Linked DNA regions of Xenopus tropicalis. The protein of the gene in region 1 interacts with the protein of each later gene in a biochemical or structural test. Links are inferred from orthologs where the notes say so. Each region holds a gene or a part of one and is shown in the gene's direction. Other genes may lie near its edges. The genes, in order: nup98, nxf1, nup88, nup155 and kpnb1.

What was found.
Region 2: the proteins of nup98 (region 1) and nxf1 form a complex in vitro, tested with the Homo sapiens proteins (5 studies listed by BioGRID and IntAct). The link is inferred for Xenopus tropicalis from reciprocal best matches to the Homo sapiens genes NUP98 and NXF1.
Region 3: the proteins of nup98 (region 1) and nup88 form a complex in vitro, tested with the Homo sapiens proteins (2 studies listed by BioGRID). The link is inferred for Xenopus tropicalis from reciprocal best matches to the Homo sapiens genes NUP98 and NUP88.
Region 4: the proteins of nup98 (region 1) and nup155 form a complex in vitro, tested with the Homo sapiens proteins (2 studies listed by BioGRID). The link is inferred for Xenopus tropicalis from reciprocal best matches to the Homo sapiens genes NUP98 and NUP155.
Region 5: the proteins of nup98 (region 1) and kpnb1 form a complex in vitro, tested with the Homo sapiens proteins (3 studies listed by BioGRID). The link is inferred for Xenopus tropicalis from reciprocal best matches to the Homo sapiens genes NUP98 and KPNB1.

The regions. Positions count from the first base shown.
Region 1 is NC_030678.2:177,463,156-177,467,818, reverse strand, and holds the start of nup98 (nuclear pore complex protein Nup98-Nup96), read left to right. Parts: upstream 1-1,539; 5' UTR 1,540-1,778; intron 1,779-2,444; 5' UTR 2,445-2,485; intron 2,486-4,663. UniProt on the Homo sapiens protein: Plays a role in the nuclear pore complex (NPC) assembly and/or maintenance. NUP98 and NUP96 are involved in the bidirectional transport across the NPC. May anchor NUP153 and TPR to the NPC.
Region 2 is NC_030680.2:36,497,741-36,501,622, reverse strand, and holds part of nxf1 (nuclear RNA export factor 1), read left to right. Parts: intron 1-1,610; coding exon 1,611-1,793; intron 1,794-3,428; coding exon 3,429-3,489; intron 3,490-3,882.
Region 3 is NC_030678.2:105,073,472-105,077,568, reverse strand, and holds part of nup88 (nuclear pore complex protein Nup88), read left to right. Parts: intron 1-518; coding exon 519-623; intron 624-1,908; coding exon 1,909-2,067; intron 2,068-2,986; coding exon 2,987-3,112; intron 3,113-3,248; coding exon 3,249-3,314; intron 3,315-4,097. UniProt on the Homo sapiens protein: Component of nuclear pore complex.
Region 4 is NC_030677.2:197,771,097-197,775,193, forward strand, and holds part of nup155 (nuclear pore complex protein Nup155), read left to right. Parts: intron 1-903; coding exon 904-1,007; intron 1,008-2,657; coding exon 2,658-2,791; intron 2,792-3,866; coding exon 3,867-4,058; intron 4,059-4,097.
Region 5 is NC_030686.2:10,834,510-10,839,304, reverse strand, and holds the start of kpnb1 (importin subunit beta-1), read left to right. Parts: upstream 1-1,754; 5' UTR 1,755-1,944; coding exon 1,945-1,984; intron 1,985-2,118; coding exon 2,119-2,177; intron 2,178-4,795.

The DNA.
Region 1 (4,663 bases):
TTTTAATACATAATGCAGCAACCCATGGTGATTGTCTCCACAGGGGCCACCAGCAGCTTGCCGGCACCCCCTCACTGTATTGAGGAAGACTAACAGGGCTTTGCTACACAGGGGCAGGGGGTGACTGGGAAGCTGGATAGATAACTCCATACCTCCCAACTGTGAAAAGTCCCTCATTTCCCTTTGATCTCCTGCACTGAAGCTAAAAAGATACAATGTTTCTCAAACTTAATTAACAAAAGTACCTTTTGGCAGAGAGCCCAGAATTCGTAACAAGCATCACCTGCACTTAGATACAGTGTTTCTCATGTTTAATTAAATAAGTAGCTTTTGGCAGAGAGCCCAGAAAGGTAAAAAGCCCCCCCCCCTGCACTGAGATACAAGTGTAACTAATAAGCTAAACAGGTTTCTTGGGGGAATGGAGACTCACAGCCTAAAGGCCAACTTCACCTTTTTCAGCAAAACTGGAATAACACATAAAACAGGACCCCCCCAAACCCCCAGAAATGTGATCAAACTTTAAATCACCTGGGGGTGTGTGTCCCTCTTTCCGTTTTCAAAATGTTGGCAGGTAACTGCTCTTTTGTTTTGTGACCCAGGCTTTCCATATACACAGGGGCCCCCAGTGATCCAGCTGTCTGACTAACAGGCTCCCTCATTGGCTGCAAGTACAAATATCCCACATTTTGGGCTCATAATGGTTTCCCATAGTTTAACCCCCCCCATTTGACTTATTAGTCTTAATGCCAAGAATATAGGCACTATGGTTGAACGTGATGGATGGATGTCTTTTTTCAACCCAACTTACTATGTTACTATGTAGGCCACACCTCCTGCCCTAGCTGAGCTGTAATTGGACAGGAAGATTAAGGGGAGTCAGTCAATGGGCCTAGAAGCAATCACCTCAGACAATACCCAGGGGAATCAGCATCATGGAGGGGGGGCATAGTTTTGGGGGGAAGAGCCTGTAATACCCCTGTAGCCCATATGTACCCTCCCCAAACTAACTATAACTGCCCCTCAGGCTGGGCCCCAATCCAAGTCACTACAGGGCCCGCCCCACTGCTTGGAAGCCACTAGTCCCGCCCAGGAGGGAAAAAAGTTACTAGTCCCGCCCACCGGACCATGACACCATGCGCTTGCACGCCATATCTAGCGGGAGCGCGCACCATTACATTTCCAAGGAGCGATTTTTAAAAGAGTAGCGGGACGCTCGTCCCCGCCCCTTTCATACCCATTGGCTAACAGCATAGCCAATCCAGTTCTTCTATTCCTTGCGCGCCGCTCTCCACATAACTTGCGGGACCGCGAATCTAAAGCTTTACTATGCGTGTCATTTTGTCCTGAGACGTGAATAGAATTGCATCTCTCCTAAAACCAATAAACATCCCGACTCAGTCTGCGAGTTTTAATTGAGAGCGCAGGAATGAGTCACGTACTGACTAACCATCACGTGAGCAGAGCCGCGCACGCCATAGGGTCCCGCCGCTCAGCCAATCGTTATGAAGGGCGCGTAAAGTAGTCCCGACCTTTGTTTGACTGGCATAGGAAGCGGCCAATCCCATCGAGCGTTTGACGGGGGCGGGGCTCAGATCTGACGTTCTACCCCTGACGCCAGCGCCATATCGCTGGATGACGCACTTTAGCTCCCTTGCGTGACGGGAGCGTGACTGCCGGTACCGGAGAGTCTGGGGAAAGCGTTTTCATCTACTGCTGTGTTGGGCGCGTACGAGCTGAGCTTTTGGTTGGGGGCGCTGGTGTCTGGAGGCCGCGGGCAGGTAGGCGGGGAGAGAGCGTCGGGCTGAGGTGTGGAGCGCATGGGGATTAGTGGGAGGTGTGAGCCGCCCCCTCCCGCTGTAGTGCGGTGGAACAGTCCGCCTTATTGCCTAACCTTCTCCGGAATGTTCCACTTCCATGTGTGGGGGGCGATTAAACCTGATACCCAGTCACTGCTTCCCATATCCAGGGCAGGACTGAGTTCCACATTTCCGCTTGCTGCCGGTTGCTACCGGTTTCTGGTTAGTGACAGGACTATGTTCCGCCTGGTTCCGGTGCTGCTGGGTTCTCTTGGTTACTGACGGGCCTGGGATCCCCAATGCAGTGTCCCCAATGAAACCCCTCCCCTCTGATAGTGACAGTTTGGGGTCTCCCCTCTCTGTGCCATTGCAGCCTCCATAGGTTTCTCTGCTGCGTCTGTCGCACCGCTGCCTACGTCTCTGTCCCCTAATGTGTTTGTTTCTATTGCCCCACATGGGCGTGTCCTAATGTACTGCCCCAGTCAGGCCCCTCTCTCTGTTTCCTGTGTCTTGTGCTTACAGATAAGGAGGCTTTCCCCATACAGGGAATCTCATATAATACTCAGAGTACTTCCACCACTTTGTTTTACTGTAAATGTTTTCATAACTCAACCTTATTAGTCACTTTTGTTTTTGTGTTTTTTCCAGGGCCCTGAATCTGTTCAAGAGCATTCCATCTCCTCTCTCAGGTAATGTATTTCTTTTGTAAGAACTGGGACTATAGCGGGGTGCCTGTTACCCCAATGTTTCTATATATCTGTAACCTTGTTATGGGCTAAGGGGGCCCAGCCTGAAGGCCAGTTAGGGGGGGATTTGGGGTGAGTGCTTATTTGTGCCCTGGGTACCCCTGGAACTATAGCGGGGTGACTGTTACCCCAATGTTTCTATATATCTGTAACCTTGTTATGGGCTAAGGGGGCCCAGCCTGAAGGCCAGTTAGGGGGGGATTTGGGGTGAGTGCTTATTTGTGCCCTGGGTACCCCTGGAACTATAGCGGGGTGACTGTTACCCCAATGTTTCTATATATCTGTAACCTTGTTATGGGCTAAGGGGGCCCAGCCTGAAGGCCAGTTAGGGGGGGATTTGGGGTGAGTGCTTATTTGTGCCCTGGGTACCCCTGGAACTATAGCGGGGTGACTGTTACCCCAATGTTTCTATATATCTGTAACCTTGTTATGGGCTAAGGGGGCCCAGCCTGAAGGCCAGTTAGGGGGGGATTTGGGGTGAGTGCTTATTTGTGCCCTGGGTACCCCTGGAACTATAGCGGGGTGACTGTTACCCCAATGTTTCTATATATCTGTAACCTTGTTATGGGCTAAGGGGGCCCAGCCTGAAGGCCAGTTAGGGGGGGATTTGGGGTGAGTGCTTATTTGTGCCCTGGGTACCCCTGGAACTATAGCGGGGTGCCTGTTACCCCAATGTTTCTATATATCTGTAACCTTGTTATGGGCTAAGGGGGCCCAGCCTGAAGGCCAGTTAGGGGGGGATTTGGGGTGAGTGCTTATTTGTGCCCTGGGTACCCCTGGAACTATAGCGGGGTGACTGTTACCCCAATGTTTCTATATATCTGTAACCTTGTTATGGGCTAAGGGGGCCCAGCCTGAAGGCCAGTTAGGGGGGGATTTGGGGTGAGTGCTTATTTGTGCCCTGGGTACCCCTGGAACTATAGCAGGGTGACTGTTACCCCAATGTTTCTATATATCTGTAACCTTGTTATGGGCTAAGGGGGCCCAGCCTGAAGGCCAGTTAGGGGGGGATTTGGGGGTGAAGTGTTTGGGGAATGAGTTACGTTTGGCTTTATTTATATTTTGGCTTGGCAGGTTTTAACTGTTTCACATCGGTAGCGTTTCTCTAAGTAGTCCACAAGTAATATATATTGTAGCTAATTGTTAGCTTGTGGTATTTCAGATAATCAGCTTTTGCTTCATTGTTTCATGCTTCAGAACCAGTAGTGCAGTGAATATAAATGGCCAGACACATACTCCATTCAGTGGCAAACACATTTATATTTAACTGGGGATAATGTGGAATGAATGTATATTGGACAGTTTGGGGTTATAGTCCCAGGAATGGGTATAAGACTGGCAGGTTTGTATGCGCTCTGGGTACTTGGGAGCAATGGTATAAAGATTATGTATATAATTCATACGTTCATTAACGGACAGTATTGTGTTTGTGTGAATATATAGATATATACACCCCGTATACATTCTCAGCGGTTGTATTCTGCTGCTTTGTGTTTATAGGGAACATATGGGGAAATGTCATAAAAGGTTCAAAGTTTCATGCTGGTAATCCCCCTAGAGCAGCCAATCAGCAGGCAGCATTTACTGGGCAAACAAGATTTTGGTTGCTAAGGGTTTCTGCACCTGGTAGTTCCTTTTATTCTATATGTTGAGTAGCATTTGTGTAAATCTCTTGCTTCCTTCAGTCATGGAATTACAGTATCACCCCAAAATCTTGTGTATGTGCCAGAATGGGGGGCCTGATGCCCATGCACTGGCTACACCGATTCATGGTGAAGAGGGAGGGGGAAAGTTTAAGTAATTGGATGCCCCGCCTCTATGCATTAGAGGCGGGGCAGACAATAGATGATTGACAGCTGTGATTTTTGCAGGATTGTTGCAGGCACTGCAAAGGCTGTGCGAGGCATTAAGGGGGCTGTTCACCTTGGAGGTAACTTTAAGTATGATGTAGAGAGTAGTATTCTGGGACAATTTGCAATTGGAGGACCTGAATAGGGAAAACAAGTTACAAAAAGTAACAATAACCATAAAACTGGAGCCTCACAGAGCAGTAGTGTTTTGGCTGCCGGGGTCAGTGACCCTAATTTGAAAGCTGGAAAAAGGCAGTAGAAGGCAACTATT
Region 2 (3,882 bases), on another chromosome or scaffold:
ATTAAAGTCGGCTTTTCACTCTACTGCGCATGCGCCGGCCCACGGATTTCGGCAGCAGCGCGCAAAGGAAGGAGGAAGCGGTGTCTACAGGTGCCCCGGGCTGGTGCTGTTTTCTCCTAACGGGGGCACCAGCCCGGGGTACAAGGTAGGCGTTCTAAGTCACTTGGGGGTGCCTAACATTTTGGTACCCCCAAGTGACTTAACCTTTCCTTCTCCTTTAATAATGTATCAAATTTTAACAGTTGGCAGCGTGACAGAGTGTTATGTCAGACACTGGTAGGAAAATGAAACAAATTCATTTTTAAATTACTGAACTTAAAGAATAGAAAATAGAAGGCACCCATACAAGTCATTATTGTATACAGGTATAGGACCGTTCATCAAGAATGCTTGGGACATGTTCTGGATAAGGGATTTCTCCATAATTTGGGTCTCCATACCTTAAGTCTACTAAAAATCATTTAAACATTAATTTAAAGGACATGTACTGCATATCCTGATTTCCAGGACTGTTTTTCTAAAACAAACGTTGAAAGGCAGCTACATACTTCTAGGCCTTGAGATAAGGAGCAGCTCATTACACAGAGGCTTCTCAGTGGATTGTTTTTTTTTGTTGTCACGCATCAAAGAATGTGATTGAGAAATATTGCCAAAACACTACTAGTCCTGCCCATCTGTTCCACTTTTTTTCTGCCTCCTTTCTCCACCTGTGCAGGAAAGCCAGCGGCACTCGGCACACTGCACTGTAGGTTAGGAACCAATCAGCAGTTAGACTGACCTGAGCTTGTCTTTGCTTGTGTGACTGCAGGACTGTGATTGGCTACTCCCCTCCTACTGTGCATCTGGCAGGGACCATTGGCACACACCCACCCCTCTTTTGAAACACAGACAGGGACTATAGCAGATTTATGGGAAGCTACAATAAAGGGGCAGTTTTAAAGATGATCATTTTTAGCCTAGAGTGACACCAGCACCATATATTTTATTCATTATCATCTACAAGATTGGGGGAGGGGGGGATCACATACACTAGATGTCTACTTAAAAATATGTAAGTGGAAAAAGTTACAAAGCAGTATAAATAGAAAATAATTTAAAAATAGTTTGTCCTATTATTAATGTGGCAGTAATAGTTTAAGAAAAAAAAAGTAGCTAGTTACTGATTTGCACATTAATCATTGTCCTGGAAAAAATATAGAGGCATGGGATCCATTATCCAGAAACCCATTATCCACAAAGCTCTGAATTACATGACGGTCATTCCCATAGACTTTGTTAACCAAATTAAAAATGTTTTACACATTTTCCTTTTTTTTTCCCTCTGTAATAATAAAACAGTAGCTTGTACTTGATCACAACTAAGATAGCATATAGCATTTGTATTTTAAGTACTGCATTAAAAAGTCATCTCAGTATTTCTGCTAAGAGATGCAATAATGGCATTCATTTTAGAATACTGTTGGTATGGCATACATTATTAATGCCACATTGCTATACAATTTGGTAAATGAACTTGCTTTACTCTCTAGTTCAGCAACACATTTCTTTTTTAGAGATTCTGTGCAAAAGCTTTGTATAATGGATTTACATTTATCTTTCATGTCTAAAAGGCTACTTCTGGTAAACGATGAACAGTTCATAAGGAATGCTACCACCGAGGAGATTCGCAAAGCCTTTGCCACACCTGCTCCCACACCTTCCAGTAGCCCAGTGCCAGTCCTGGCACCTGTGCCCCATGATATGGTGCAAGCGTTCATTCAAGTATCTGGCATGAATGCAGAATGGTCTCAGAAGTAAGTTTATCTGTTGGTACAAACAGGTTACATGTTTTTGAATCTGAATGTATTATTACACCTTTAAAAAAAATCTATTTCATTCAGACTCTTTGTCACTTTCTCAAGAATGGGGGTTCACCCTAACAGATATGAAATTTTAATGGGAGATGTTGGGGAGGATGCTTCTAAACTCTGTTAACAGGCAAACTGACTCTCGGGGCACCATGGGGAATCTATTTTCTGTCCAATACAAGAACTAAGCATATTGGGCAATCAGTCCCTAGGACAGAACCTGCCAAAAAACATTTTGCTTACCTGTTGCTAGGGTTTGTAGAGTAGACACCTTTCCACCCTGTTGGTGAAGCTGGGCAGACTGGAAGGCCAAGGGTTTTTTTTTTTTTTCGGTTTTTTTTAAGAGGGCTGGGAATTTTTCTGTAAGGTAGAGGCTCTTTTGCAGGGATGGACAGACAACTAGAGGATGGGTAGAAGGTTGGAGGAGGTAAACTAGAAATGGGGGATTAACATTAAACAGTTTGGTATATAGAGGGCATAACGGGAATATAGGTTATTGCCCTCAAGTCCTTATGTTAGAAGGTGGACAAAACTTCCAAGGCTGTAGGACTGAATTGTGCTGTATTGTATCTAGTGACTGTATCTAGTAACTGTTTCTCATATTGTTTCACTTTATGTATATAAAAAAACTTCAGGAAAGTGAATTTTGATGCTTTTATGCATTATTACCATCCATAGATTGACTAAAAACAGTCCTTATTGGTATTCAACCATCACAGTTCTTATTTCCTAGCCCAGCCTATTCAACCATCACAGTTCTTATTTCTTAGCCCTTTCCAGATCCAAATAAATTTTTAGACGTTAAACAATTGGGCAGAGGGCTGTGTAAAAGGTTCATGTACAGGTGCTGTGTACCACCATGTCTTGTACAGGTGCCCCTTCTCTTGTTTCTCTTGAGCCTGCTGTATTTAATACCTTTCATTTCCTGCTGCGTACCTGCACACTGTCGTTTACTCGTTTACCTGTGTGCCATTGTATACTCATGCCAAGGAACAAGACAATTCAAAAATAAATTGGTAATGCTCACCTTTACCAGGTGCTGACTGCTAGTCCCACTGCCAGGGCTAAAATACATCTGTAAAATCCAGTACGCTGCAGCACTCCGAATCTTTGTGAAAAATGTTTATTGTGCCAACAAAACTGGCAACGTTTCGGGCTCTCGAGCCTGCACACTCCCTTAAATAAATGTGTAAAGAGGGATTGGTAGGACAACCCCACCCTCCCATTTAGGTTCAATTCCTATCATGCTCAGTGAAAAAACCTTTACAATGACAAATAGATGAAGTGTCCATAATCCAATGAGATCCCTATCAAATGTGCAAATGCTCCATAGTCCGTGATCATATTCGTAGTCCATACTTGGTTTAATCAATTCAATATTGTGTGTATCACTTAATTAATAATTAAAATCAATTATTATGCTGAAAAAAACTGGTTACAAATAGAAACTGTTTGCTCATATCTTGGGGTCTGAATATCTACCAGTTAAAACACCAGTCCACCCCAAGGACAAGAGCTAGAGACAAAGAATTTGCTTACTTTATTATTTAACAAGTGTTCTTTACACTTCTCTTTTATCAGGTGTCTTGAGGACAATGGTTGGGACTTCGACCAGGCAGGCCAAATTTTTATGAAGTTAAATGTAAGTAAGCTATAAACTTAAAGATATCCGTCCGCCTAGAAAGTTCCTATCTGTAAGCCTTATTTATTATAAAAATTTAAAAAGCTTTTGTGATGCTGAGGCTGGAAAATAGTTATGCTTTATTGTTATGGTGTTGATAGTGGTGGTTAAAATGCCCTTTACCCACTCTTGACACATTTCTAGTTAACTTGAATGGGAAGTATTATAGGTCTCCCATATCACGCCAATAGGAAGCATACTGTGTGAATGCAGTAAAATGAGACTGGAATCTGTGGCTGGGAAGCTAAGTTGAGCAGGAACGAGCGTGGGCCATTGGTATGCTCTAGTAGTATGGCATTCTCCACTTGTGCAAATTTATTTTTGTGGTGTGACAAAATCGGCTTATATGGGTTA
Region 3 (4,097 bases), about 72 Mb from region 1:
AAAGTGTTTGTTTTTTTTTTTTTTTGAAGATACTTATCTGATATAAATGCTGCTGAGCTGTAGTAGTACTTTTGTCTCCTCTAGTACCACTCGCATGTTTTGCTAATTGACACTTTTTCCATTTTTTTTTTTTCCTGACGATTTAATAGATTAGCCAGTTGGAATAGATTCTGCATATAAAACACAGCTCTTTCTGAATTAATTACTTTAAAATAATGCTGCGTTGCTGATAAAGGACAGTTATTGTTATGCTGTTGGAGCATTTCCATTCTTGTCATGCCTCTCATTTTGCTTAATGTGGATGCCCTGACAGCCCTGTTTTAAACAGCTACACACCCAGCAACCATCCACTGTTTCTGACTACTATCTTGGGACCTGTACAATGCATCAACAATTTTCGTTAAAATATTCAAATATTCCTCGTTAACTTGATCACTCTCAGCTTGTAGTCTGCTTGATAATAAATTGTGTTAATAGCCAGTGTATTTTCTTTTTCTGTATTCTGTTCACTACTGTAGGCTGCCGTCTCCTATTCAAGGCTTTTGGATCATCTCAGATCTTTCACTTGGCACCTCGATGATATGCATTACATGTGACTTTGAGTGTATTGCAAGGCCATTGCTGTATGTATTTGCAACGTAATGAGAATGAAACTGGGTTTTTTGGAAGTGTTTACATTGATTTTGATGTAGCTATGTTTTTAATTGCATTTCATAATTGTTGCAAAGACAACACCAGAACACCTTTTGTGAAATTTTATATTGTGATTTACCTGCAGAGAAAAGTACAAAGAAACTCTCTTTATTTTGTTTAATGTACAGCTATTAGGCGGGGTGGAGAACTGTGTACATTCCTCTAAACAGGTGTAGTCCTGAAGAAGGAGGTTAATGGCAAACCACATTCGCGTTTTAATGTAGATGTTTGATATTAAATAAAAATATGTTGCCAGCATCGGCGACAGCAAAACAACATGTTTGTGTGTGCATTAAAATTGTGACACCAGGCACAAAGTATTTTTGTCAGCACACCAAAAATTTTCTATGCACAAAAGAGTTTTAGGTGACTGATACCTTTGAACAAGGAAGCAGTATAGTTCAGTGGTTTCCTTGTATGCACCTCTGCCACAGGTGCAACTTCCAATAAAAAAAACAAATTAAAGTAGCAAGAATTGGGCTATTAAGCAGAAAAGGTGCCAAAAAAAAAAAGTGCATTTATTGTCCGCACATGTTTCAATCCTCCTGGGTCTTTGTCAGTGCTACGTGCTACAGTGTTTAATGCTCCAATGTAAAGGCCTTAATGAGTATTGGAGCCTTAAATGTTTTGTTTTGTGATAGACGAAAAGTTCACTTCACTTCCAAAGTGCGTGTGTGTGTGTAATATAAATATATATATATATATATATTCTCTCAGAGATCACATGACCAGAAATAATGCAGCTTAAACTTTAACAGAAAGTAGTGTAAAAGCAAAAGGCAGAACTCTGTCCATTAATTGGCTGATGTGGCCTAGCATGTATGGGTGCCTTGGCTTGTTTGTGTTAACTGTGAATCCTATGATCCCAGGAGGTGGCCCTTAATTCTTAAAATAGCAATTTTCTATTTAGGATTACCCAATAGCACATACTACTAAAAAGTATATTTTTATGAAAATGGTGTATTTAGATGAAGCAGGGTTTTACACATGAGCTTGTTTATGCAATATATTTTTATAGAGACCTACATTGTTTGGGGGTATAGTTTTCCTTTAATTTAAAATTGCTCAGAGTGCTCTACTTGCAATTTACATTGATTATTTTTTCCATATGCTTTTACTACCAAGGATTATTTCCATATAAAAGAATAGTTTAAAATGTAAGGTTCATGCTGTATTAATGTCCTAATTAATGGTTTATTTTTTTTCTTTATCTAGAACCACCATTCGACCACCCTCTCCACCTCTTCTTTGCTTTAAGATTGACAAAAGTTCCACAGAGATCATTCCACATGTCCTAGAAGATGTAAAAGGGCCATTTGAAGAGCACATCAGAGGCATTTTAAGACGCAACTCTGCAAACCCATTGTTGTTGAAGTAGGTGGAACATTATCATTTATGAGTTAACAACAAGGTACCTTTGTAATAGCCCACACTTCTGTAAAAGATCTAAGAGCCAAGAACTGAACTTTTAGGAAAATTTGGTCCATTGTTGTAAAGCACACGGAGAAAGCAAAACAAACAACATGTATGAAAGTCTGAGAAACAGGTTTGACACTGCATCAAGACAAGCCAGATTCTATATATTGTGGTAACCCACCAAACAGGCCAGTCTTCTATCCCTGAGCATATTATGGATGACATTCAATTAAAAATATATCAAATGCAGGGCTTGAGAATCTATGCGAGTAATAGGTTCTTGAAGAACCTATTTCGGTTTGGTTGGGTGCATTACTGACCATTTCAGCCTTTCTGTTGTCCATGAAGTTTATGTAGAATGCATGGTAAGGGGTAGAAAATGTAGATCAGTGAAACTTTATAACATTTGTGTGCTTTCGCTGAGCTAAGATACCTGGCTGGTGAGCAATAGGGGAAGAACAGAATCTCAAAATTAGCTTCTTAAACACCTTAGGAAAAAGGCTGCTCTCCCCAGTGGCCAGTTTCTGGCAATTTAAGAATTCCACCTTCCAGGTTTGAATACCAGATGATGATAAAATAGTGAGTTTTCTCTTTCATGGTAACCTCACTGATGAATGATGTGTAACAGTTGTGGCATAGGAAGTTAGACCATGACCAGAATTTTACGCAGTTCGTTTTCTTTAATATAGTCTTTATAAGGATACTTACTCCCAACTGTTAAGTCTCATACATCACACCCTGTATATTAATGTTCGGGGAACCACACACATAAATTATGTTACAGGCCACCTTGATACTTTAAGTTTGGTTGTCCAGTCAATTAAGTCCTTCTTCAAGCTATGGTCTCTACAACACTAAAAATGTTGCCATCTTGTAGCTCATCAAGCAAAGATTCCTCTCCTCCACCTGAGGAGTGTCTACAGCTTCTAAGTAGAGCTACTCAGGTTTTCCGTGAAGAATACCTTCTCAAACAAGACCTTGCCAAGGAGGAAATCCAGAGACGGTAATATATTTCATTTGTTTCTCATTTTGTGCAATTTATTTTCTTTTGTTCTCATTGCGTGTTCTACTTTTATACTAAACTTGAGAGAGAGAGAGAAAAAAAAGAATTATTTTTTCTAATTTTTTTCTCTAATTAGAGTTAAACTGTTGATTGTTCAGAAAGAAAAACAGCTAGAAGATCTACAGTATTGCAAAGAAGAAAGGTATGTAACTGTTTAAATGAGCATTAAAAAGAACCATTCAATAATCCCATTAAACTATTATAATTAATGCATCCACCCTATGCCGAAACACATACAATTGTATGACTGTGAGGCTGCAATATTATTGTTACTTTTTATTACTTATGTTTCTATTTACCCCCTCTTTTGTTCCTTTCAGCTTCTCATTTAAACCACTGCTTAGCTGCTAGGTAAAATTGGGCCCTTGCAACCAGATAGCTGGCAAAATTGAAAGCTGCTGAACAAAAAGCAAAATAATTTAAATTGTGTGGTTATTCAAAAAACCACAACAATTAAATAAAGACCTATTGCAAATTATCTCAGAATATCACTGTCTACATCATATTAAGTTAAGTTCATTTAACTTAACCCCTTACTTTTCATTGGTTGCTTATGCACTGTAACCAGTTGCATAAATTAAAAGGTCAGTGGTTAATTTCTCATTTGCAATGACATAGGCAAACAGACTCGGCATATCCTAAATTTTACAGACTGTTATGTTAGATTTGCAGTACTCTGTCACAGGCACAGGAAGCAGTAGACTGACAGGAGACACAGCCAATAGGAGTTAACGTCTGCTGCCAGTACTACTGTATGTGTGGCATCATATAAGAAAGTAAAAAGCAACTGTAGTGTTGCCCTACTGACCTACCAGGTCAAGAAGTGCAGAAGTGAAGGATATGGAGAGGGAAGATTGTTCTATTAATGTGAACTGTTAGATTTGTTATTGTACCTTTCCTTAAAGGGGTTGTACATCTTTTTGGA
Region 4 (4,097 bases), on another chromosome or scaffold:
TGTTAGTAGTATTGTATGTTTTTGAATTATTTGCTGCCTTCTTCTAACTCTTTGCAGCTTTCAAATGGAGGTCACTGACTCCCACAGACAAAAAACTATTGCTTTGTGAAAATACAGTTTTATTGTTGTTACTTTTTAGTACTCATATTTCTGTTCAAGTCCTCTTCTATTAATGTATCAGTTTTTCATTCAAACTACGCCCTGGTTGCTAAGGTAATTTGGATCCTAGCAACCAAATCACTGTTGAAACTCCAAATGGGAGAGCTGCTGAACAAAAACTGAAATAATTAAACTATAAATAATGAAAAATGACCAATTGCAAATTCTCAGAATATTCGCTACATCATATTAAAAGTGGGTGAACAACCCTTTAATTCCCAACAACCCTGCAGTAGGGAACATATAAGACCACTGAAGTTTAATGTGAGAAATAGAAGTATAGAAGAATATAGAAGCCTATGATTAAGTGTACACAGATAACCGCACAGCCTCGCTTGATTAGTGTAGGTGTAGGGTGTATTATCTTCTCTGTCTAGTATATAGAGACACCATAAACTGTTGTTTTCTCTGCCTAGTATATGTTTTTTACTTTACATTTTCAGATAAGGGATTAGTAAGACCTAAAATATACACTAAACTGTTGCAGTGAAAAACATAATACTTCTGTCTATCAAAAGCATATAAGAAGTAACTGAGTTTTATGATTGTATAACTGCCCGCGGTTCTGTATCTGTGTGTGGATCCAGTGCTCATCAGTGACTTTTATATGCATTTAATGTTCCATGGGTTACATAATCCCTCAGCTAATGCAGCATTCCCTCTTTTTATACTTGCATTGCTACATATATTGTATAGCCATGACTATAATATTTGAACCCCCCCCCCCCCCCCCCCATGCTGCAGCTTTGGTACACCTGCAAATCGTCAGCAGCGACTTGTGGGCCTGGGCCGGCCTGACTCTGGCAGTTCACAGCAAGCCCAACAAGAACTCCAAAGAAAATACCACAGTAAGTTGCCTGGGACACTAAAATAAGTGTGAAAGATTTACCAGTATTTATGTTACATCCTTAAATTATACTCAGCCCTAATATTTATTTCCATTTAGTTCAGGGGGATATCTATGCTGCCTCTAGTTTAGTGGAATCTCTCTGTACAGGTTGTGAGCAAAGGTTGAGGGATTGCTTTCTATTGTGGATTTGCAATGATCCACCATTACTTGCTGGCCACAATTGTTAGACCCTACCCCCTGCTGCTTTCATGTATAAGGTAGCCATACATGCTCCGTTTTGGTTGGATAGTTTGGCTGAGATAGACCATACTTCCTGTCCATCTGGGAATGTATGGCAGGTTGGGGTACCATTTGAGCAGATAATCTTTTTATCCTGCTGGATAGTGGAATATCTGTCCTGGTAGATCAGTGCTGTCCAACTGGCGGCCCGCGGGCCGCATGCGGCCCTCGACCCCCCTCTGTGTGGCCCCCCACCTGTCTGGCTGCTTTGATGGCTTAACTTTGTATCAGTACTATGATTAACTGGCCCCCTGCATGGTTCTCACCTCAGATTCAGGCTGTAATCCCCCTGTATTGTTTAAAACTGTAATCCCCTGTGTTGTTCACACCTTTTAATCTCTGCATTGTTTACCCCCTGCAGTGTTCACACCTCAGGCTCAGGCCTAGGCTATAATCACCCACATTGTTCACCTCTTCACACCTCAGACGTATGTACTGCCTGGCCTATACTGCCTGTGTATAGGCAGCATAGGGCAGGGAGGGTATGGCACCCACAGGCAGCATAGGACAGGCAGAGTATGGCAGGCAGAGTGCTGCCTGTGTGTGCCATACTCTGCCTACCCTATGCTGCCTGTGGGAGGTGAACCTGGCAGGGGTTTGTTCTGAGAGTTTGTTAGCAGTTGGAAATAGCCATTAAATGGTCCCTAAGGTGTGTAATTATATGCTGGGGGTTGCTGTGCTATCCACAGGGGAGAAGGCATATGGATTTAAGGGTGTGTCTTAATATGACATAATATAATTCTTTAACATATGAAAGATGGTTGATATCCCTGCAGCGACCATTGTGATAAAATGGGTGTGGTTTGAAGTGTGTGTGGTTTAAAATGGGGGAGTGGTCAAAACTGGCTTCCATTAGCGGCCCTCCACCATGTATGCTAGAGAAATTCCGGCCCTCGGCACCGCAGAAGTTGGACAGCACTGTGGTAGATAATCATAATTAGAATTATTTGTTGCCCAAAAGAGCTCCACTTCACGTTCTTGTATAGCCACTCATCGATCCCGCAGGCTGATTGGTAGGGTACCATTTGGGTCAGCCCATGTATAGCCGCCTTTACAGAGGAGAGCTTTTGGGCAGCAACAAGCCTTAAAAATTATTGTATAGCTTGGCAGTAGCTTGTAATAGATGAATTGCAACACAGTTTTTGATTATGCAACATCTTAAATACACAATGGATGCCTATTATATTAAATGGCAAAATTTGTTCACTATTACTTTCCCCTTGGCCAAGGAATGAAAGGCAAGTTAAGATCAAAGGTGTATATGCCCAAGTGTACTGTGTTATCAAGCAAGATAAATGAATAAGCAGAACACATTAGCCTAAACATGTATTTGTAAATAATTATGCTAACAATCTTTTCCTTTCAACAGCTGAAGCTCAGCTTGCAGAACAGTTATCTCTCCAGGGGATCCATCAGCTGGTTAGGAAAATGTGCCAAGCTCTTGCTTTGTGGAAGCTACTGTGTGAACATCAGTTTAGCCTCATTGTTTCAGATCTACAAAAGGTTTGTGTTTATTTTTTGTGGCTTTAGTCCCTGTCTGAAGAGTGTTGGGAGCAGCAACATCTGGGAGAACCAGCCCATGCTTGGGTTTGCTTACATGTGCTCTTGCTCTAATGCATCTTAAAGAAGAACTAAAGAAGTAGGGCAGAAATGTTGTACATTATGTTTTGTGCTTCTGTATCAGCCCAAGGCAACCACAGCCCTTTAGCAGGGAATCGGTGCCCCCCAAGATGCCCCAGTAGCCCCCCATCTTCTTTTCTGCTGATTCCCTGCCCATGCTCTGTGCTGCTGTCACTTACTTGAGCTTAGGGGCCCACTCACTATATACTGTATATATACAATATAAATGTCACAGTATAACCTGAGCTTAGGGACCCACTCACTATATACTGTATATATACAATATAAATGTCACAGTATAACCTGAGCTTAGGGGCCCACTCACTATATACTGTATATATACAATATAAATGTCACAGTATAACCTGAGCTTAGGGACCCACTCACTATATACTGTATATATACAATATAAATGTCACAGTATAACCTGAGCTTAGGGACCCACTCACTATATACTGTATATATACAATATAAATGTCACAGTATAACCTGAGCTTAGGGACCCACTCACTATATACTGTGTATATATAGAACATAAATGTCACAATATAAGGCTAAGTAGTAATTCAGACAATTACTACTTAGCAGCTCAGAAACCAGTGCAATTAGCATTAGAATTCAATAATCAGCCCTGTAGCATCAGCTTATATGACAGGCCAACCTCATTTTCTGGTTGGTAATTTGCGACAACCCCTAAGCTCAGCTTCTCAACAGCTCCTCGAAGCACACTGAGCACGTAAGTGTCAGACACTTTTCAAGATGGGGAGCTCCTGTGACAAGTGAAGGCCTTTGATCATTGCTGCTATTGAGATGCTGAAACTTTAGGCTGGCACAGTAAGAAAAAGTATATAAAATATAGCATTTTTAGCCATATTCTTTTTTTAGGCTTCAGTTCTCACTTAAAAAAAGCTATTGAGTTCCTTGGACAGAAACTGAATGTCTGTGTTCTTACACACAGGAACTCCAGGAGCAGCTGAAGATAACCACTTTTAAAGATCTTGTGATCAGAGACAAAGAGCTGGCGGGGGCTCTTACCGCATCTTTGATCAATTGCTACATCCAAGACAACGCATCAGTGGATGGAGTTAGTTACCGACTTCAAGAAGTGTGTCCTCTTCTGTACAGCACTGACGATGCAGTGTGCTCAAAGGTAAAAATCAGGAGATGCAATGTTTGCAAAGACTATGTA
Region 5 (4,795 bases), on another chromosome or scaffold:
ATATCGGTTGGCCAGGCCACTCTGTTCTGCCCATACACGGGCCGATTAGCTGCCGAATCGGTCCAAGGGACCAATATCGGCAGCTATAGTCAGCCCGTGTATGGGCACCATAAGGGTGTAGTATATTAACATGCTCTTGTGGTTCTCAGTATGTGGGGAAGACCATATGGAATGTATCTAAATGCATTCTGGACTCTTTAGAGACAGGAGACTTAGGGCAGGGGTACACGGGAAGATTAGTCGCCCCGCGACAAATCTCCATTCTCACGGGCAACTAATCTCCCCATAATGCCATCCCACCGGTTAGAATGTAAATTGCTGGTGGGATGGCATACGTGGCGCCGCAATGTCGCCCGAAGTTTCCTCTCAAGGCGCGTCTAATCTACCTGTGTGTTACTGCCCTTAAGATCAGCAATGTCCAAACGTATTTTGAAGAAACATGACGGTAACGCACATTTTACTTTTCAGATTATTGACAGGCCATCTTTTCAGATAAGGATCTAGAGAGGAGACTGTTAAGGCAAGAGGCTTTTTGGATCTATAACTTGAATTCCCTGGAGTTCCAGGGTGGGATGAATAGGGAATGGGAGTTATCCTGTTTCTATTGAGAATTGTATAAATGGGGTTAACTTTTTGATTCTCCCTCCATTATATTTGGGTCCTCCTAACTATAAGTATTTCTATTTTGCTATCCTTATTTGTACTTCTTTTATGTATATTGTGTGGTGTGTAAGGGTTCATGTAGTCTATATCAGGGGGCTCAAACTCAATTTACCTGGGGGCCGCAGGAGGCAAAGTCAGGATGAGGCTGGGCCGCATAAGGGATTTCACAAAAAATTGGCTTTCAAGGGATAATGCAAGGCACGGCGGGAGCTGCTGATTGCGGAAATGACGTTATGCCATAACAGTTATTATGGGAAGATGTTCTGTGTGCACAATTAGCTCCTTAGCAGCTGTGCACACAGAATGTCTTCCCATAATAACTGTTATGATGGCATAATGTCATTTCCGCAATCAGCAGCTCCCGCCCGCCGTGCCTTGCATTATCCCTTGAATCGCAATAAAAATCGCGATCCATTCGTTGCTTTTGAGAAGGCGTTGGTGCGGGCCACAAAATACTGTACTGAGGGCCGCGAGTTTGAGACCCCTGGTCTATATAGTCCAACTAGTCTTTTGACTAGTTGGATTATATAAGCCCCTCCCACTTACGGGCTGATAATGCTTCTGAGGCCATGAAACGCGTTAAGCGTAGCTCCATGGCTGTACATATAGGTTTTTACATATAGGATTGAATAAAAATGACTGTTTTTTAATCCAGCTCTTTTTTTTGGTGCATTTTTTCTATTTCCTGCCACTAAACATCTGTCGTGGTTTGTACAAAGCCATCCAATGACTTGGGCTCAGTAAAGCTGCGCTGCTAGCACTACAGCCTGCCGAGCGGCGGCCACATGACTAAGCAGATTGGAAGCGCTAAACTTCTCTTTCAGCTGTTGAAAGACTACAACACCCAGAATGCCTTTGGGGAGCTCTAACCACAGCAGCAGTCGCCTTTTCCATTTCTACAATAAAATAAAAAGTATCGTACTTTTCAACTACCCTTCAGCTCGCCATAGTGTAATAATGACTCAGTACGGAAAGGGAACACTCTCACCCCACAGTGTGAGGACTTGGCTAATGGGCCCGCCCTTTCATTGGCTCTACCTAATAGGACGCACCCCCTCTCCCCCACAACCCTTAGCGGCACTCCTTAGGCGCAGCAAGTCCCCTCACAACAACCAATAGGTTTCCGGGACGTACAACTAGATCCGGCAGATATCCGTGCGCAGCAGAGCCACACCTCCTCAGCCCCATTCTTCCCTCTGACACAAGCGCGCTCGAATCCCTCCGCGCCACGCTTGCTCACTCCGGCAGCCCGCCTGAGCTCTGTGACCCGGCACCGCCCGCATGGAGCTCGTCACCATCCTCGAAAAGACCGTGTCTCCGGGTACGGGCGGCTGGTTATTGGGGGTATTATTGTGTGGGATAACAGTGAGGGGAGGGGGGCAGCAGGGAAATGCATGGGGATCCCCAATAGAGCGGCAGGGCCCTGAACCCATGTCTACCCTTCTTTTCCCTCAGACCGCAATGAGTTGGAGGCGGCGCAGAAGTTCCTGGAGCAAGCTGCAGTCGAGAATCTGGTGAGAAATGATAGAAGTTGGGCTTGAGAAGGAAGCCGGGTAGGGAGGCACCATGACAGCCACACGGAGCCTTAGGTTGGCCGTGCCGGCTCTCCCACTACATTAAACGCATGCAGGAAACAGCGACACTTATAAAAAGAGTCCCACTATCAAAGTAGCCACCAAGCTGGCAGGGGGCATGCTGGGAGTTTATTTGGACTTATTAGGCCTGGGGGGTAATCGTTCTCTGATAACCCCCGCAGCACATAGGAAGCCGGGAATTGCTGGGACTGCCACTGCCAGTAGGTCGCCAGCTGTTCTGAAATGGCTAGCGCTGTGGTGCCCGGCCAGGCCTCAGTGAAAAGCGCCAAGACTGGCGCAGCCTAACTTGCCCGCCACCCTGCGCTAGCCAATGGGGAGGCGCGGAGCCATTTAGCCGGGTCTAATTCGGCCAATGAGAAAGCGAGAAGAGGGAGCGGCGAGGGGGGCGGTGGTAAAGCACGTTGCGTTGCACAGCTATGTGGGGCTAATGGGGCTCCTTGTGGCATCGCATGATGTCGCATTTGGGCTGCTCTGTGCGTGTTGTGTGATTTTCCTGTGCTGACAAATTGCATTTTTTTGCAGTCCTTGGAGAATGTACAGAACTCAGTGTAGGTGCAGTGTGACATGCCACATTCCTGTCATTGTGAGCTTCCTTGTATTGCAATAAATGTCGTTAAACCCTGCAAACTAAATGCTTGCTTCCTGTTTCAAGGTATTCTCTAAGTACCAAATGTTTTGTATTGCTTTGCCATGAAGCTGACATGTTACTGTTTTCTTCAAAACTGACCTGCGCTTAAAGGAACAGTAACACCAAAAAAATGTATATATTTTCAAGAAATTAAACTATACTGTATTGCTGCCCTGGTAAAAATTGTATGTTTGCTTCAGAAACATTACTAGAGTTTATATAAACCCTGGTGTGTAGCCATGGGGGCAGCCATTCAAAAGAAGAAAAGGCACAGGTTATATAGCAGCTAACAGATAAACTCTGTAGAATACAATGGTGTCTTATCTGTTATTTGCTATGTAACCTGTGACTTTTTTCCAGCTTGAATGGCTGCCCCCAGGGCTACTCAGCAGTGTATTTATATAAAATATAGTAGTGTTCCTGAAGCAAACACCCGAGTTTTACTAGTGCAGGGCAACAGTACGTTATATTTCAATTACTTTAAAACACTTTCATTTTTTGGTGTTACTGTTCCTTTAAGTTTTTGAAATGTTAGGAAAGGATCTCGGGAAACAAGTGGTGCCAATGGCTGCCATCTTTACTTGGCAAAGACCAGGCTGGGGGTGGGGGGCAGGGTTTAATACAGGGGTGCACAAAAGGTAGATCACGGTCTACCGGTAGACCTCAAGGTGGAATGCAGTGGGATGACATCCCGCCACTTCCCCCCCCCCCCCCCCCAGCATACTGAAGCTTTCAAGTGCGACTGCTCAAGCCGTCTTTGTAGTTTCATCCCAGTATAGAAGATTGTCCCCACTGGGCCACTGTATATATTTGTTCCCACTTCATATATGTTTCTGTGTGCAGACTACAAAGTGGGCCATAAGGAAGGGAAGTAAAAACTACTACAATCCTTTCACATTAAACTTGAAGTTGGCACGTGAATAATGTTATGTGGGCATTAAATGTGAATTTGGCACTGCATTTATATATTGCTATGTGTATTTGTTAAACATCCATTGATATTTCTGTTGCTTATTGTGCCAAATGATAGACGTTGCACTATTTTAACTGTGGTAGAGCTCATGACTGAGGCCAGGTGGGAAGAGTAGATCACAGAGTGACAAAATCTGGGCACCACTGGTTTAATAGAACCATCATGTACCTTTCCTCATGCCAGAATTCATCTCTTACCTCCATGTCACTTTGTTTTTATAATAACAATCACTTAAAGTGGCCTTGCATAGGCTAAAAAAAAAAGCTACTGACTTTTAGATCAGTTTATCCACTTAGGGCAGTGGCACACGTGGAGATTAATTGGCCAGTGTCAAATCTCCCGGCAATGCCATCCCACTGGCTAGAATGTAAATCGCCGGTGGGATGGCATATGCGTCGCTGCAGTGTCCCAAAGTTTCCTTTCAAGACAATTTCGGCCGATTTCGGGACATTGCAGAAATGCGTATTCCATCCTGCCGGCGATTTACATTCTAGCTGGTGGGATGGCATTGCGGGGGATTAGTCGCCCATAACAATGAAGATTTGTCGCGGGGCGACTAATCTCACTGTGTCCCGCTGCCCTTCTTGGTCTGTATATGGTGTCCTCAAGAGACCTACCCAAATAAAGTTTTCCCTGAAAATTGTCCAGCATGTTGATGTCTCCTTAGGTCACACAGAATGATCCAATTTCTGGTCCCTTGTTGGATCAGCCAGTTAAATGTCTGACCTGCCCAATTGGCTACGAAAAATTAGAAGTGTTGTGTATGTTAAGTGAAAAGGTAGAGATTGGACAAAAGGTAGCGCTTATATAAGTCAGTCAGATAACTGCAAAACAAGTCTGTGCTGTATGGGCAGGATTCTATTTGAATAGCAAGATACTTTGCCTCATTTGACTGATTGTGCTAATGAGTGAATCTGCAGCGGTGTCCGCTCTATT